2 linked regions of the Astyanax mexicanus genome follow. The protein of the gene in region 1 interacts with the protein of each later gene in a pairwise test. Links are inferred from orthologs where the notes say so. Each region holds a gene or a part of one and is shown on either strand. Other genes may lie near its edges.

Region 1 (7,601 bases):
GCAACTTTTAAATATATTGGTATTCTTAAAACACTTATTTTATCAAAAAAATATTTTCTTAACACTACAATTGACATACACTGGTCTTACAATGTAAGAAGTCAGAAGGTCAGCTTCGAAAATGATCAGTTTAAATAGTCAATTTACACATAGCAGTTTTAATGTTTTGAATGGTTAATATGATTCTCTATTCCCTTTGCTTGTTCTTCATTGTACAGATTTAACCAAATAATATCAAATTAAAAATAAAATCTCAAATCTCAAAAAAAGAAGTGTTCATTTCAAATTTGTAGAGAAAGAGGACAACAATTTATAAAGACAACACCTTGGAAAAGTGCGGGACTGATGCAATAATGGCATATTCTTGTTGTTGTTATTGTAATGTAAAATAAAAAAAAGCTTTTTTTTGTAATACTGTCAATACTTCATCAATTGCACACAATTTGTCATAAAAAATCATACAAATTACATCTGTTTTTTTAACAGTTTAAAGTAGTTTGCACCAGTTGCAGATCATGGGTTTTGTGAGATAAGCACCATCAGGAAGCCACAATATGGAGACCTTTCACCAGTCAAACTATTCAAACATTTAAATATTGCACAGCATAATCTATTCATTTTAAAAGTTTTACACAAAAATGAAATAAAAATTTTAAGAATAATAAAGAATAAAGGAAAATGTCTACGCAATATATCAAATATATATAAAAATTATTAGATTATATATGGATTTTGCTTCTGAAATCTCTTGTTTGCTTTTGCTTATTTGTTTTTGCATCTATATGTATATAATCTGCCAGATTTTAGTGTAAAACCTTTGGCACCAAATTAACTTAAAACTAACATAAAAATATCCACACCAATTTTAGATGCATTTTTACTAAACATATACAACATTAGTGGACAGGGGCACTTCAGGTGGCCAATCAAATTTCAGCTGGAGCCATTGCCCCTGTGACCCCACCCCTAGAACCGCCAGTGCTTTGCATACTACCAAAAACTATTTAACCATTCTTACAAAACAAACCATAATAGACATTTTTTTCTGAGGTTGTTAAATTGGAACAAACCAATAATGAGTAAAATATTATATCATGATTTCTGACATCACTAAACACCTGGAACTGTGTTCTCTAGAATGATGGAACGTCCTTGTGACTAACTGGAGTAGTAGCTAATCATGAAACAACTCCAGTATCCGATTTCGCTAATGCTACTTAATGTTCCAACATGTATTTTCCAGCCTTACTAGAAAAGAGAAGTGAGTTACTGCAGGGTAAGAGCAATAAACTCTGATGAACAGCTGCTGCTGCTGATAAGTGGGTGTAATATCCCTAAAACTGTTGTACAGCTTATTGAAATTCAGTTAGACGTATAAATCTCGACTGACATGAGACTATCAAAAGATTATTTAATTATGTAAGGAATAGGAAAACTATTTAATTACACATATAAAACAACTAGTCATAGGTAGTGTTAGGAGTGTTAATGTACTCTAGACTGTTACATGCAGGACTAGCACAAGGGTGCTGCATATGTCCTCTTTGTGTATGTATGTGTGCATGGGAGACACATACAGACTGAATGTGGTTAGTTCCTGTAACATTCATCAAATCAGTTTTTTGAAGCTACACTCGAAAATCAGGTGTTAAACTAAATTTTCATTTTTTTCCTGTTTAGTATAATAAAAATTGATTTACATTTTTTTCTACAATAAAAAACTAGAAAATTGGCAAGATGAAAGAAGCCCCAGGACTAGGGGTGTGCCATATCGTATCGTACGCGATAATATCGCCAACATTTTTGAATATCGTGAACGATATTATACCCTGAAATATCGTGCCATAACACTCACCCCTAACTATCACATCAGGGTTCTACTTTTTTCTTGTTTTAAGCAAAATAAAAATTCATACATTTCTCATTTCCTATTATATATATACTAGAGACAGATTATATCTGTCCAGTATAATTTATTTTACTTTAATCCTGGATATATGGAGATATTTGGAGTTCTGTTACAAATTTGCTAAAATTCTTGTATTTTTTTTTATATCTCAGTTAGAGGTGTGCAATATCATATCCTATACAATAATAAAATGTAAATTTTGTTTTGTTGCAGTAGTGTGTTTTTTTTTTTTTTTCATATCGCTATCACGTTATTACCATGAAATATTGTGAGATTATTTTAGGGCCATATCGCCCACCCCTAATAAAGACCTTGAAACCCAAACAAATCTATCAAAAAAAGTGACTAGTAAAAGTTGAAGTGTTCTTTAAATACAACACTTAAGTGAAAGTACTAAAGTAACATTTTTGTACTTAAGTATTGCTGGTAGTTTATGTAATGAGAGTAAAGGTACAGTACTGTGTTATGTAGTTATTACAGAAAGCGATGGAAAGTTCTCAAAGTGAAGGGCAGAACGGTAGAAGCGAAATCTTCTTATTAAATCAGCTTGATCTCTTGATTCGCTCAGTGATTAGGAGCTTTATCAAACCCCTTGACTGTGCAGAGCCTCTACCGTATCATATTTAATTGTAACGATTAACGAGTAACGAGTAACGATTCGGCACAAAATCAGAGTAAACGAATTCAATAGAGGGAAATAATGCTCCAGTAGATAACGTTACATATACAGATGTTTAGTATTTACTTACAGTAGTGAAGTAGTTCTACTTCGTTACTATACACTTGTTTAAACTGTTTTTACACACAATATTCTATTATCAAAAAATGTAGCTGGTAAGCGTTACACTGAACCGAATCTGTCCTGCTTACAGCAATCCATCAGAATCTGTATCTGTAAGCCTGTTTTAACTAATGCAGGTTCTGAACTCCACATCCCAAACATTGTAAAGACACTACATAAAATCAAATTATAATCAATACAGACGAGTCTCTATAAAAAAAAGATATAGTATTAAATAGCTAACGTTAGTTAACGTATTATTGTCTAGGTTAGCTTAGCTCCGTTACTGAGCACTGAGAGCTGACTGCCTTTATCGGTGCCTTTAACACATAATACGAAGACTTTACCTTACAGTACACACAAAAACACCCATTCTCAGCATTAGCTTAACAGACAGAACACACTTAAACACTGCTTTACACAAACACCCCGATACTAATTTGAGTCTTACCGCTTCATGCTCTCCAAAACAAACCCACTTCCTGCTGTCAGCGGAAGTGCTATTGTCAAAACTACGAACTCTGGGATATGTAGTTTAATGGAAAAAGAGCGTTAACCTTTATAACAAGTGAGTGGTCGTCAGTAAAGCTTCAGTAATCAAATGTGAACAGACAATAAATACAGTAGAGCTGCGATTTAAATACGGCAATAATATTTTATAATAACAATCTTATTCATGTGTTTTCATACAGACAAGGGCTCAAATTTAAATGTATGTTTATAAGGTCTATCACAATTGTTAGTTTCTGATGTTTTGGTCTATTCAGGTAATCCATGGTGGGTTTCTGGTATATTTTGGTTTAATTTTATCTTATCTTCAGCTTTTTTTTTAACTACACTTCTGTGCTGTCATCTTGGGGTTTGATTTAATGATTTGCCTTTCATACCAATTCTCTGGGAGATTTCTTCATCTTCCAGACTCTGTCTTGACTTCCACAGTTCCCATGAACCTCGGTTTTAAATACAATTCCACACTGCAGAACGCAACAACAACAAAGTCTTGGCTGTATTTGTACTGCTCCTTCTTTGTGGGCACTGATTGCTTTCATTGTCAATTTTTTAGGTAGTTGCTTAGAGGAGACAGTAGTGGCTGAATGTTAGCAAAAGAATGCAAAGTTTGAATACATTAGTGAGTACACCAGTTGTGTACAACACACTAACAGTATTAGGCATAAACTAGCATTGCTATACCAAGATTGCAGTTACAGCAAGTTCTCAAGCTGACAATGTCACTGCATTTGCATCATTATCTGTTTGTTTTTTCTCATTTCTTGTTCCAGACATGAGTAGCTCCTTCTGTGTCATTTCACATTGGATTGTGGAAAAAAGTGTATATTGTAACCACCCGTAAAAACTGACCAGTTTTTTTGTATTGTGGATTGTGATTATATTGTTTTATATTGCAAAATGTGCAATTTGTACCACAACTATAACATGTGAATGTGTCCTTTGGCCAAGGTTGCCCAAATTATTGCATTAGAGTGTATATCCCCCTTAAAACACTGAATATTAGTTGAGTGCTGTTGAATGTATTTACAATTGCAAAAGGGCATTTCAAATGCACCACACTAACAGTGTGTTTGCATGAGTGTGATTTTGTATCTTCATGTCAGGTGAAATAACACAGATTACATGGTGTGATGATTAGTGATGTGAAGTTCTCAACTAGTTGTAGCTGTAGCAACCTTTTCAGTGATATTTGATCAGAAGCAAGTTCACAGTACATTTTCCATAAAGAACTCCTACAGGTTCCTCAAGTGTCTTTTTATTTTAACAGTGTACACATCCACTCAGAACCCATTCCTTCCTAGCCCATGTGAGCCCCATATGAGGATGTCATTTTCAGAATGAACGGTTATCTAATGAACATTTACTGCCCTCTGTATAGTTCCCATAACTGAACCAGTTTAGACCTGTTGGACATAGATTCCCAGTCCAATCATGCTGTTCAACAACAGTGCATCAGTGTACAATTTTGGGAGTACCTATCCTTACATAAATTATGAAATATAGTAAACATATAGATGCAGTATATTAAAGGAAAACTCATTTGGGAACATTTGATTCAGTGTGTCTTTATTAAACTTAAAGTTGCAAAATGTGAATCTAAAACAAAAACTTTTCTTGTTTGCAAAATGTTATTTATAGCCACTCGGTTCTACCTATTTGAAAATGTTTGTCTTTAGTGTTTTGTTTATGACTAATGTTTAATGTCAGTGTCAGATTATTTAGTGGACATTCTATTTAAAAAAATGATGTAGCAAGGGTGACACTAGTAAGTGAGATTAATGAGTCTTTCACACTACTTCCAAATCACAATACTTTTGCTACTTAGTGCAATTAAAGCAAGAACTTTTGCACTTGTATACAAGTGGAAGTCTAAAAGCAGCATATTTTACTGTTTTTTTTATTTTCTATTTTTCCTTAGGAAGATAAGTGGCTAGCTATATGTTTTTTGTGTTGCATCTAATACTGCTTTAAATCTTATGATATTACTGAGTTTCATCAGCATCTTTCAGCTCTGCTCTGAGGTGGAGGAAAGTTACTGCTGCTGGTGTTAAATATAATACAGGCAATGGGGATAGAAGAACAGTTTCACGTACAGCATGCATATGCAACTTGGAGTGACCTATTGTATTTAAAAAAGAGCAAGTTCTAATCAGTTTCTAGTGAAATAACACCTTTAACATGACTCTTTCAAAGTTCTCAAACTGCCTAATTTTACATGTCAGGGCTCTAGAGTTCTAACAATGCAGTGTGGAGCTACTTTGATTTCTTTGCATTAGTTATCACTTGCATTGTAAGCCTGTTGGGAGCATCGGCTAAAACTCATGAACTCATTACACTAAACCCCAAGTCTATTTCAAACTAGATTTTCCCTTTAAACAAAAAAATGATAGATATTAGAGCCTAAATCACAGTACTTTTACTTTTGCTGCTTAAGTGCACTTCCCAGCTGGCACACATCCGACCTTCAACACTTAAAGGTTGTTCCAATATAGTTGATATCTGTTGTCGCTTCAACTGAAACAATATTTAATATCAGATGGTTGTGCCAACGTTGAAATTTTAACATTGAATCAACATAATGTCCTCAACCTTCTGCCTTTTGAATTAGCATTTTACATTGGATTACCATATCTAGGGGTCTGTTCATGTTCTATTTGTTTTACTGTTGTGTTTTTGAGATCAGATGTTCAATCAGATTGGTAGTGGTGGATAACATTCTTTATATTCAGCTTTACTGTAGTGATGTAAGTTAAGTTTAATATTAACGCTCTAGTTTCAGCTACTTTTAGTAACTGCTTTTGTTTGCAGTTGTACAGTTCCTATTTCTCAGAGTTGTATATTCAAAGATAAAGAGAATAAAAATAAAATTGTTAATATTTCATCATGGCATACATTTTTTCCCCTCTTCCAGTAAGAAATATAAGACTAAATAAGATTCAAATTGAGATTTGAAATATTAACTATACATTATAAGGTATATAAAAAAATAAAAAATGCTGAATGAAGAATACATATACATGAATATATAAATACAAAAACTATACAAACTGTGACAGTAGTCAGATGTAGATTGGAGGTAGTTCAGTAATGCAGAATAAATTAAGTATAAGGGATAGCAGGTATCAGTAGATACGAAAAATACTAAACATAAACTGGTATTGTGCAAGTATTGTATTTAAGTTCAGTGTAAGTAGTGTCCAGGAGTGTGAATGCACAGGATGTACCATAAGGAGTTAATAGTGCCCTGGAGTGCAAATGTACAAGATGTACCATCTCAAGTGGAAGTCTCAAAGAAGTAATTTTTTTTTAGTTTGACTATATGCTTTGTGAATTGCGTCTAACACTGCGTGAGTATCATGATATCACTGAGTTTCATCAGCATCTTTCAGCTCTGCTCTGAGCTGGAGGAAAGTTACTGCTGCTGGAGGAGGATGAGGAGAAAGCGAAAGAACATCCGGTACGCGCTGACGTCAGTAGGTGAGGCGGCAGGGTGTGTTCAGTAGAGCGAGCAGGAATGAAAAAAGAGATGAAAAGAAAAACATGGCTGCGATCATATTGAAAAGCTGCGAGCAGGCGAAGGTTGAGCTGAGGAGAGCCGGGCGCTGCTGCTGCTACTGCTGCTGCTGGTGGTTCGAGCAGCTCTGCAGCCTCTGACTGACGGCGCGGAGGGGTGGGGACGCAGGGTGGGGTCAGAAGCAGGGGAGAGGCGGAGGAGAGACGGAGAGCCTGAGAGCCCAACCCTGAACACGGCAACAACACACACACACACACACACACTCTCTCTCTTACACACACACAGAAAGACGCTTTGGGGGGGAGGAAAGAGGATTTTTTCGACGCCGGGGACATGATTCGTACCACTCGCTGAGGCGACGACCATCACCGTAGCCTCCAAAAACCCGATACGAAAGGTGGAAAACTGCCGTCGACGTTACGAACCTAACCTAACCTAGCTTAGCTATTATTGAAACACACCCCACCCGAGCGACCCCCTCTCTCCCTCCCTCTCCACTCCACCCCTTTTTAACCACCGCACCCGCTTGCTTAGCTACCGAGATGCACACGGAGACTCGGAATAAGAAAGTAAGTAAGTCTGTTTTATTACCCGTTGTTGACTTGTTATCAGAACTGCAGGACAGGACTTAACGCTAGTTAGATAGCTAACTAGCTATTAGCCGCTGCTAGGTAACAACAGCTCTCGGGCCGGTGATATGTACTAGGTTAGCTAGTTAGTTAAATAAATGTCAGCCGGTTCTGTGCTAAAACTAAAACAAACCGAACTAAAGCTCTTTCCTGCGGGCTGTTCACTAACGCGAGCTACCTAAAGACTTCTACAGCAGCTGCCAATCCAGGTAAGAATGGTAGGTTAGCTCAAAGCATGGCAAGGTGAGGTTAGGTCCC
Region 2 (7,960 bases), on another chromosome or scaffold:
GCTTCATACACTACAGGGACAAATGTTCCATCTAACTACACTGCTAAAACTCATAGAACATGAAACTAGTTCTTTTCCATTTCCCATGACTTTTGCCATGTCCCATTGAAGTTAGTACAGATACACTGTGTGTGTGTGTGTGTGTGTGTGTGTGTGTGTGTGTGCGGGTGTGTGAGGCGTACTGCATGAAATGTGTATATAAATTCTGCTCTCTCTGTTCACACAGGCAATTCTAGCCAGACACCACCAGTCACAATCATTACTACCCACTGTGCTGTCCACTGAGGGTGATAATGCCTTTTCTGATGGATTCTGGTACACATATGATAATATAGATCAAAGAATGTTAAATGTCCCATTCATCTGCACCCACTACTAGACATCACTCCAACTCAAATAACTTACACCACCTTGCCATGAGCACACTGACCAGTGATGTTCAGACTCACTCAACTTCTAGAAATTACTCAACAACTAATACAGGTGTGATTGATTGCTCTTGATATTTCCCATCACTTCAGTTTGTATCCATACAATATCAGTCAAATGTTTGGACACACATTTTAAAATTGTATGCATTGTAGAGTAATACTGAAGTCATTCAACCTATGCAGAAAAAAGTGTTAAATCGGAATATGCGCTATATTTTAGATTATACAAAATTAGCAACTATTGCTTAAATAGAGACAATTTTGTACATCTTGGCTGGATCTTCACAGTCAGCTTTATGAAGCAGAGTCACCTGGACTTCAGGCTTTCAGTTAACAGCTGTGTTGAACTTATTAAGAGTCAATTACTTGAATTTCTTGCCTCTTAATGTGTTTGAGAGCATCAGTTGTAAAGTTGTGAAGAGGTAGAGTTACAGGTATACAGTGAATAGCCCTATTTAAGTGGTGTTCTAATTCATCGTATGGCAAGAACTACTCAACTAAGTATAGAAAAAAATACTTTTAAAGGTCAGAGAATCTGAAAATTTCTTTGAAAAGTATTTTTTGAAAGTATTCTTAAGCTCAGTCGAGAAGACCATCAAAAACCTTATGATGGAACTGGCACTCATCAGGACTGCTGCAGGAAAGGGAGAGCAATAGTTTTCTTCTGTTGAACAAGATAGTTCATCACCTAAACGCTTCACATAGTATTTTGGATTTTGGACATAATTCATTATGTGTTCTTTCAAAGTTTGGATAAATTCAGTATTTATTTACAATTTACTAAAATAAAACATTGCATGAGAAGGTATGTCCACATTTTTGAATGGTACTGTATATATACAGCTCTGGAAAAAAATAGTTTCTTTGATTTTACCAGGAGTGGCATAAAGTTATCCAAAAGCAGTGTGTAAAACTGGTGGAGGTGAACATGCCAACATGCATGAAAACTGTGATTAAAATCCAGTAGGACTGGTGTCTTGGTTTAAAGTGCAATTTCGTCTGATTACCTTCGGTCACTGGTTATTGCAGGCACTTTAAGTTCACATTACATTAATAACGTCCTGTTACCAGCTCCTATTCTAACAGGACAATGCTTGTCCACATACCGCTGCTATCTCCAGAGCTTCCCTTAAAGACACAGATGCTGTGCCATTCATTCTATACAGTATCTTATAATCTTTATGAAGCTACAATAGGAATTTGTTTATACACTGAGGTTCAGAAGTTTCCTCCAGCCCCTGCAGTGGCTAATTCCACTCTGATATTCACTGTGACGCTCATGTCAAACCTCCACAAGCACAGCCCACTCTGCAGCCGCCGGAGATACTGAACGAGGGTTGTTCATTGTGACAGGCACTAGAGAGGATATGTGTGTGAGAGAGAGAGAGTCAGTGTGTCTTACAAGCACCTGAAAGTGGAGACTGTTATTATCACAGCTGCTCAGAAGTGTAGGCAGGAGAAGCAGCAGCAGAATAGCTGTAATGCACTGTCTGCTACATGTTCCTACACACACACACACACACACACACTCAATTACGTGCATGCAATAATATTCACATCTGCAAAAAAACTCACCTAGCACCATACCACTACTATATATACTAAGCTATTAGCAGATACTGATCCAAAACATTTTGATCTAAAAGTAGCTACTTTAAACTAAAGCAGATAACTGTTTAAAATGTTCAAACACTGATTGCGTTTTCATACACTTCATAATCCAAAGTTTGTCAGTAATCTAATCTACGCATTTACACAAACTTGTGCAATTACCGTATTTTTCAGACTATAAGGCAGACTGAATTAAAAGGCTCACTATCAATGATTGTCTATTTTTTGGTCTATTTTCATGCATAAAATGCACCGGATTATAAGGCAACAATAGAAAGAATGCCTTAATCAAAGTGAACAAGAGTGTTTCCATGTTTCCGTTCTAGTAAACAAAACTGTAATTCCTCAAAAAAATGTGCTAGATGTTAATATACAGATTAATCTCCTGAAAACTGTTTAGTTGGGTAAGTAAAGCATTTCCATCTATTTACAGTAATCTTAGATTCCCAATATTTTGTCTAAGAGGGTGTTTTTTTAGTAAAGTTTCTCCAGAACTAAGGCTGGGTGCAGCAGCATTAGCATTAGCCACTAACCACAGCACTAGTGAGACTAGTGCCGCCCGTTAGTGGTTGATTGAGGAACCTGAGTGTTCCCGTAACCCAGGGTGCTATCAACCTGCGGTTTATCCCACGTAGATTGTTTTAACATGTGAAACATGCAGACTACAGTCCAATATACTCGCTTCTGAACTCGCTTCTGACAAAAGAGCTAGCGCTGTGGTTAGCGGCTATTGCTCATGCTGCTGCACCCAGCTCTAGTGCTGGAGAAACTTCACTGAAACCTCACTCTTATAACACTGTACTTCAATGGAGTGGCCTAACAGGTAAAATTCATACATAAGGCACACTGGATTATAAGGCGCAGTGCCAATTCGATCTATATAAGGCCAAACAAACTGCAACATATCTCCATCTGCCTATATTAGAAAAGAAAACATTGAATAAGTGTAAATGGACAAAAGAATTAATGAAAAAGAAGATATTTTGTGTTTTGAAATGGGCTGACCTTCATTCTCCTCAGCTACACTTGGTGAAGGTGAATTCCGCCGCAAAATGGGGACCTATAGGATATTAAATGCAAGGGTTTTACTTACTAACCAAGGGTTCTAGCATGCACTGTGAATATTTCTCTGTGCTCAATAAAGCTTATATTTACACACAATTTTATACTTTTTTGTAACCTATATTTTAAGTATGTATATCATAATTTTTGTTTAAGAAGTTTTAATATATATTGTGTCAATAATTGTGACTTAAATATCCATATAACCACATTGTATTAGTCATTAATGCAGATATCTGTACAATAAAAGCTGTAATTTCTATAGCTATTAAAAATACACACATACTTTCAGCAGTATGACTCATTATGGCTCCACACACACGTATGAGAAAAAACAAATGAAGGTGATGGTCAGCACATGGCCTTGCTGTACATAACCCACTCAACCCTCGCTCCAAAGAATAATGCCCACACTAGATTAGCACTGCAGGGCCTCAATATTTATACCAGTGTGGTCGTTTAGGAGGTCACTGGTCAACCTGCACATCCTTCTTTTCTCGCTCTCTTTTCGCTCAGCTCTTCTCTGATTCGCTGGAGAGGAGCAGTGCAATAAGCAGCCCACTGTTATTTAGGACCTCATACTGACACGGGTATTGATGGCAGTGGACAGAGAGGCGAGAACATTCGCAAATCAGCGGAGATGTGTTAAACTGCCTCTCTCGTCAGATAAATCACTTTTGTGGAGCGCTCTTGTGACAGCACCATCACACCCCCCTCACACCGCCCCTCCCCCGTGCCTCTGTGCTTCATGTCAGGTGTTCAGCGTGAGGGGCTTTTGGCTGAAGTTAATTGATTTCATCTCCCGCTCTGCCTGCGACCTCTGCTGCTTTTCTTAATTTATAATCCCCCATAATACCAGGTGCCCAGAACAGTGTCAATATGGTGGAAGGTGCTTCTCCCTGCCATGTGGTAAAAACAGACTCTCCCTGCACTGAGACAAAGTGTGCACAGCCTCTTTCTAGCCTTAGGAGGAATGAGACTCTCAGGGCAGAAGTAACCTCTCCCTACCCTCAGGGCAGAAGCATATCTCTGCCTTCAAGGTAAAGGAAGCCTCTCCCTACCCTCAGGGCAGAAGGAACCTTTTCATGCCCTCAGGGCAGATATAGCATCTCTGTCACCTTGAGCAGAAAAAAACTCTCCCTGTCCTCAGGGCAGAAGAAGCCAAATCCCTACCCTAAAGGCAGAGGGAGCCTCTCTCTGGCCTTAAGGCAGAAGGATCCTCTCCCTACCCTCAGGGAAGAAGAAGCCCCTCCCTGCCCTCAAAGCAGAGAAAGCCTCTCCCTGCCCTCAGGGCAGAAGGAGTGTATGCTTGCCTTCAAGGCAGAAGAAGCCTCTCATTACCTTAAGGGCAGAAGACACCTCTCTTTACCTTAAGGGCAGAAGACGCCTCTCCTTACCCTCAGGACAGAAGGAGCCTTTCCCTTCCCTCATGGCAGAAGAAGCCCCTCCCTGCCCTCAAGGCAGAAGGAGCCTCTCTCTGCCCCCAGGGCTAAAGAAGCCTCTCCCTGCCCTCAGGGCAGAAGGAGCCTCTCTCTGCCCTTAGGGCAGAAGAAGCCTATCCTTGCCCTTAAGGCAGAAGCAGCCTCTCCCTGCCCTCAGGAAGGAAGAAGTCTATCCCTGCCCTTAAGGCAGAGGGATCATCCCCCTTGCATTTAGGGCAGATTGATCCTCTCCCTGCCCTCAGGGTTGAATAAGCCTCTCCCTGCCCTCAGGGCAGACAGAACATATCTGTCCCCTTGGGCAGAAAAAAAAACTTTTCCTGTCCTTGGGCAAAAGAAACCTCTCACTGCCCTTAAGCAGAAATAGTCACTCTTTGCCATCAGCGTGAAAAGCCTCTCCCTGCCCTCAGGTGAAAGTAGCCACTCCCTGTCCTCAGACAGAAGTAGTTTCTGCCTGTCAAATGCATTCATGGGTCTGAGCAAATAACAAGAGATGACAGATATGCAAAGAGGAATAGGATGTTAGAACAACATAACAATCAAACTGTGCCCTCAATAATTGATCAAGAGAAAGACAAAACACCACTTATTTTTTCCCCTCCCTTCTTACAGTTTCTTCAGCCTTTAACCATTTTCATTTCTGGTATAGTTTGTTAGTCTTTTCATATTTAGTATTATAAGTAGAGACATTTTACCAACATTTTATCATGAATCTTCCTCGAGAGGCTAGGCTACCTATGCACTTATTGGATAGTTTATTACAATGACCTGTTCACCTTCTCCTTTGTGCAATGACCTTATCAGCCAATCATTTGCTAGCAGTGTAATGCATAAAATCATGCAGATACAGGACCATTGTATGGTGAACATCATGCTGTATATGTATGGGTAGCTCAACTGGACATCAGAACGTTTTTTTCTACTGTTTCTACTGATATTTCTACATAGGGGCCCACTGAGAATCCCAACTGTGCCCAGTAACAACACCTGTACCAACTCAATCATAGCCCCTGCCCACCTGGAAGCCATCTAGCACCATCTCCACATGGGCATGCTAGCTGGGCTTAGGCTATACTCAGTGATCTTAATCATGACACGAGTTCTTGTGCTCCTGTGAGAAAGACTATAATATTCACTTGAAAGAAAACATACTGTGAGTGGTAGATCTGAGGATGAAATGCCTTGTTTTCTGAGATTACGTCACTTCAAAAGTCCAACAGCTGATGTTCCAGTGGCTACACGCTCACCAATTGTACAGCTAACGAGTGACAAAAAGCCTGGTTCCAACAGTATAAATCCATGGACCAGGGACTTGCTTTATGTAAACACTCCAGACTGGTGGAGATGGAGGAGTGTGAGGTGCATTTTCCTTGGCATTCCTTGAGTTTGCTTGAATGCTTGAACCCTATTTGCTGACCATGTGCATCCCTTCATGGACGCAATTTACCAATCTTCTAATGGCTGCTTCCAATATGACAATGGATGGTTGATCAGTGGCATTGCCAGTGAAGAGATCTGAATACAACAGAACAACTTCCACCTGGTAGAATGAGAGATTCACAGCATATTAATGCTCTCATGAAAAATAAGCAATCATGTCATCATCTCAATAAGACACCCCACCTTACAGTTCTGTATTAGCATGCTTTGTTGTCTTGTTCTGATAAACATCTTACAATAGGATTATTTAGTTGCAACAGGACATCACATGTTACAAGACACACATCATTTACTTATGTGCGTCTTATAACAACATGTTTTCTAACATTCATATTGTCCATCTTCATGATCACGAAGAGCACAGTCAATCAGTTCAAACCTTCGAGTACCAGCACTTATTTATGCCTTTAAGTGCCGACTACATCCATTACACAGCAGGCACCTTTCAAGGCCTAACTGACAAGTGGATATGCACAGTATGCCAACCAATCAATAGAGTGACACACTGGATCCTCCACTCTGCATGACTGAGCTGAAAGATGGCGTCCGCAGCCAGGCGCTGCATAAATGATGCTAAAAGATGAAGTGGTGAGAGCAGTGTGTGTGTCTGTCTGGAACTTGCAGCAGGCACACGGCAGCGTGCACTGAGAGAGCTGGTGTGGTGTGAAGCAGTGCAGCCAGATTTGGCCCTGGGAGCGAATGCAACTGTAATGAATAGCATCAGGATAGATTGGCTGCTTAAAAGGCAGACGTCAGGCATGCAAAAAGCCTCGCCTGGGCTTTCATTAACATGTTCTTGCCAACTCCTTCATCGCACTTCCTGTGTAATTTTCACCTCCATGAGCGTGCTCGTACCGCCCAACGAGCAGAGAGGCAGCACCAGTCGGGGGAAGGTGGCAATCTGCCCGCAAAGCCGCTCAGTCAAACAGAACGAGCGGAGAGAGCAGCCCATGCCCTCTCCGTGAAGTGTCAGGTGGAGACACTGCGGCCCCACATTGGGCTGAGATGTGGTGCTTAAAAAGGCCTCTAAGAGCCCTCTCCGAGCCCTGCCACCCCCTGATTCATGATCACAATCTGCCGGCAAAGTTAGAATAATGAGAATAACCGCACTGCTGTTCACAGGCGTTATGTGCAATGTGTGTGTGTGTATATGTGTATGTGTGTGTGTGTGTGCTAGCCTCCTGCAGAAGAACCCTTTGGAACAACATTGCCTTATCACAGATCCTCATTCATCTCCCTGGTGCATCGGCTTAGTCTCTGCCGGCAGCAGGCTCTCCCCTCACCTCAAGCAAATTTCATTTCACTAGAAAATTGCTTCTTGTTCGCGGCAACCCTATTCTCCTCCTACTCTTCTGCCTCCTCTGTTCGCTAGCCCCGCACTAAATTCCACACTCATCGTAGTGCCTCCAGCAGTAATCCAATTAAGCATGAAGCAAATGAAGCTGTCTCTCATTCGCGAGGTGCAGTCACCTGCGCTGGGGAGATGGGCGGCAGAGGCGAGGCAGGACGATAATGCCACACTTGTTTCAATGGTACCTTTAATTGCCTGAAAGAAATCCCTTGTCCAGGGAAGACGGGGAGACACATTTGCGGTGATGGGATTTAATTGCCTTCGCTGGCGCGCCGTCGTGTTATTTACGTTAATCTCTGTAAACGCCCGTGTAGAAGGGAATCAATCTTGTTTTTCCTGCAAAAGGATCAGTGTGGAGGTGATTACCGTTCAACGACAACTTCCTCCTCTCCTCTCCAAGCCCAGGACGTGGAAGCTCGCCCAGCAAAGCTGAACAGGAGCATGCCAAGGTGAAAATCAGCCAAGGTTGTCACTGATCCGAAGTGAAAAAGCGAAAAAGCGAACTGCATACCCCCCGCCCCTTGTGTCAGATCGCCCGCTGGAGTCCAGAGAACATCACCGAGCAGCTCTTTGACCTTAATATCTTTAAGAAACTCCTGAAGACAGAGCTCTTCAATGAGCACTTA

Evidence for each region.
Region 2: the proteins of rbm41 (region 1) and RNA-binding Raly-like protein interact in binary tests that used the Homo sapiens proteins (3 or more experiments, as listed by UniProt). The two-hybrid records come from large-scale screens. The link is inferred for Astyanax mexicanus from reciprocal best matches to the Homo sapiens genes RBM41 and RALYL.

Annotation. Positions count from the first base shown.
Region 1 is NC_064424.1:16,702,579-16,710,179, forward strand, and holds the start of rbm41 (RNA-binding protein 41), read right to left. Parts: upstream 3,101-7,601; 5' UTR 3,073-3,100; coding exon 3,038-3,072; intron 1-3,037. Other genes in the region: klf8 (Krueppel-like factor 8), read left to right, coding at 7,257-7,283. UniProt on the Homo sapiens protein: May bind RNA.
Region 2 is NC_064413.1:46,358,598-46,366,557, reverse strand, and holds the start of RNA-binding Raly-like protein, read right to left. Parts: upstream 3,101-7,960; 5' UTR 3,054-3,100; coding exon 3,048-3,053; intron 1-3,047.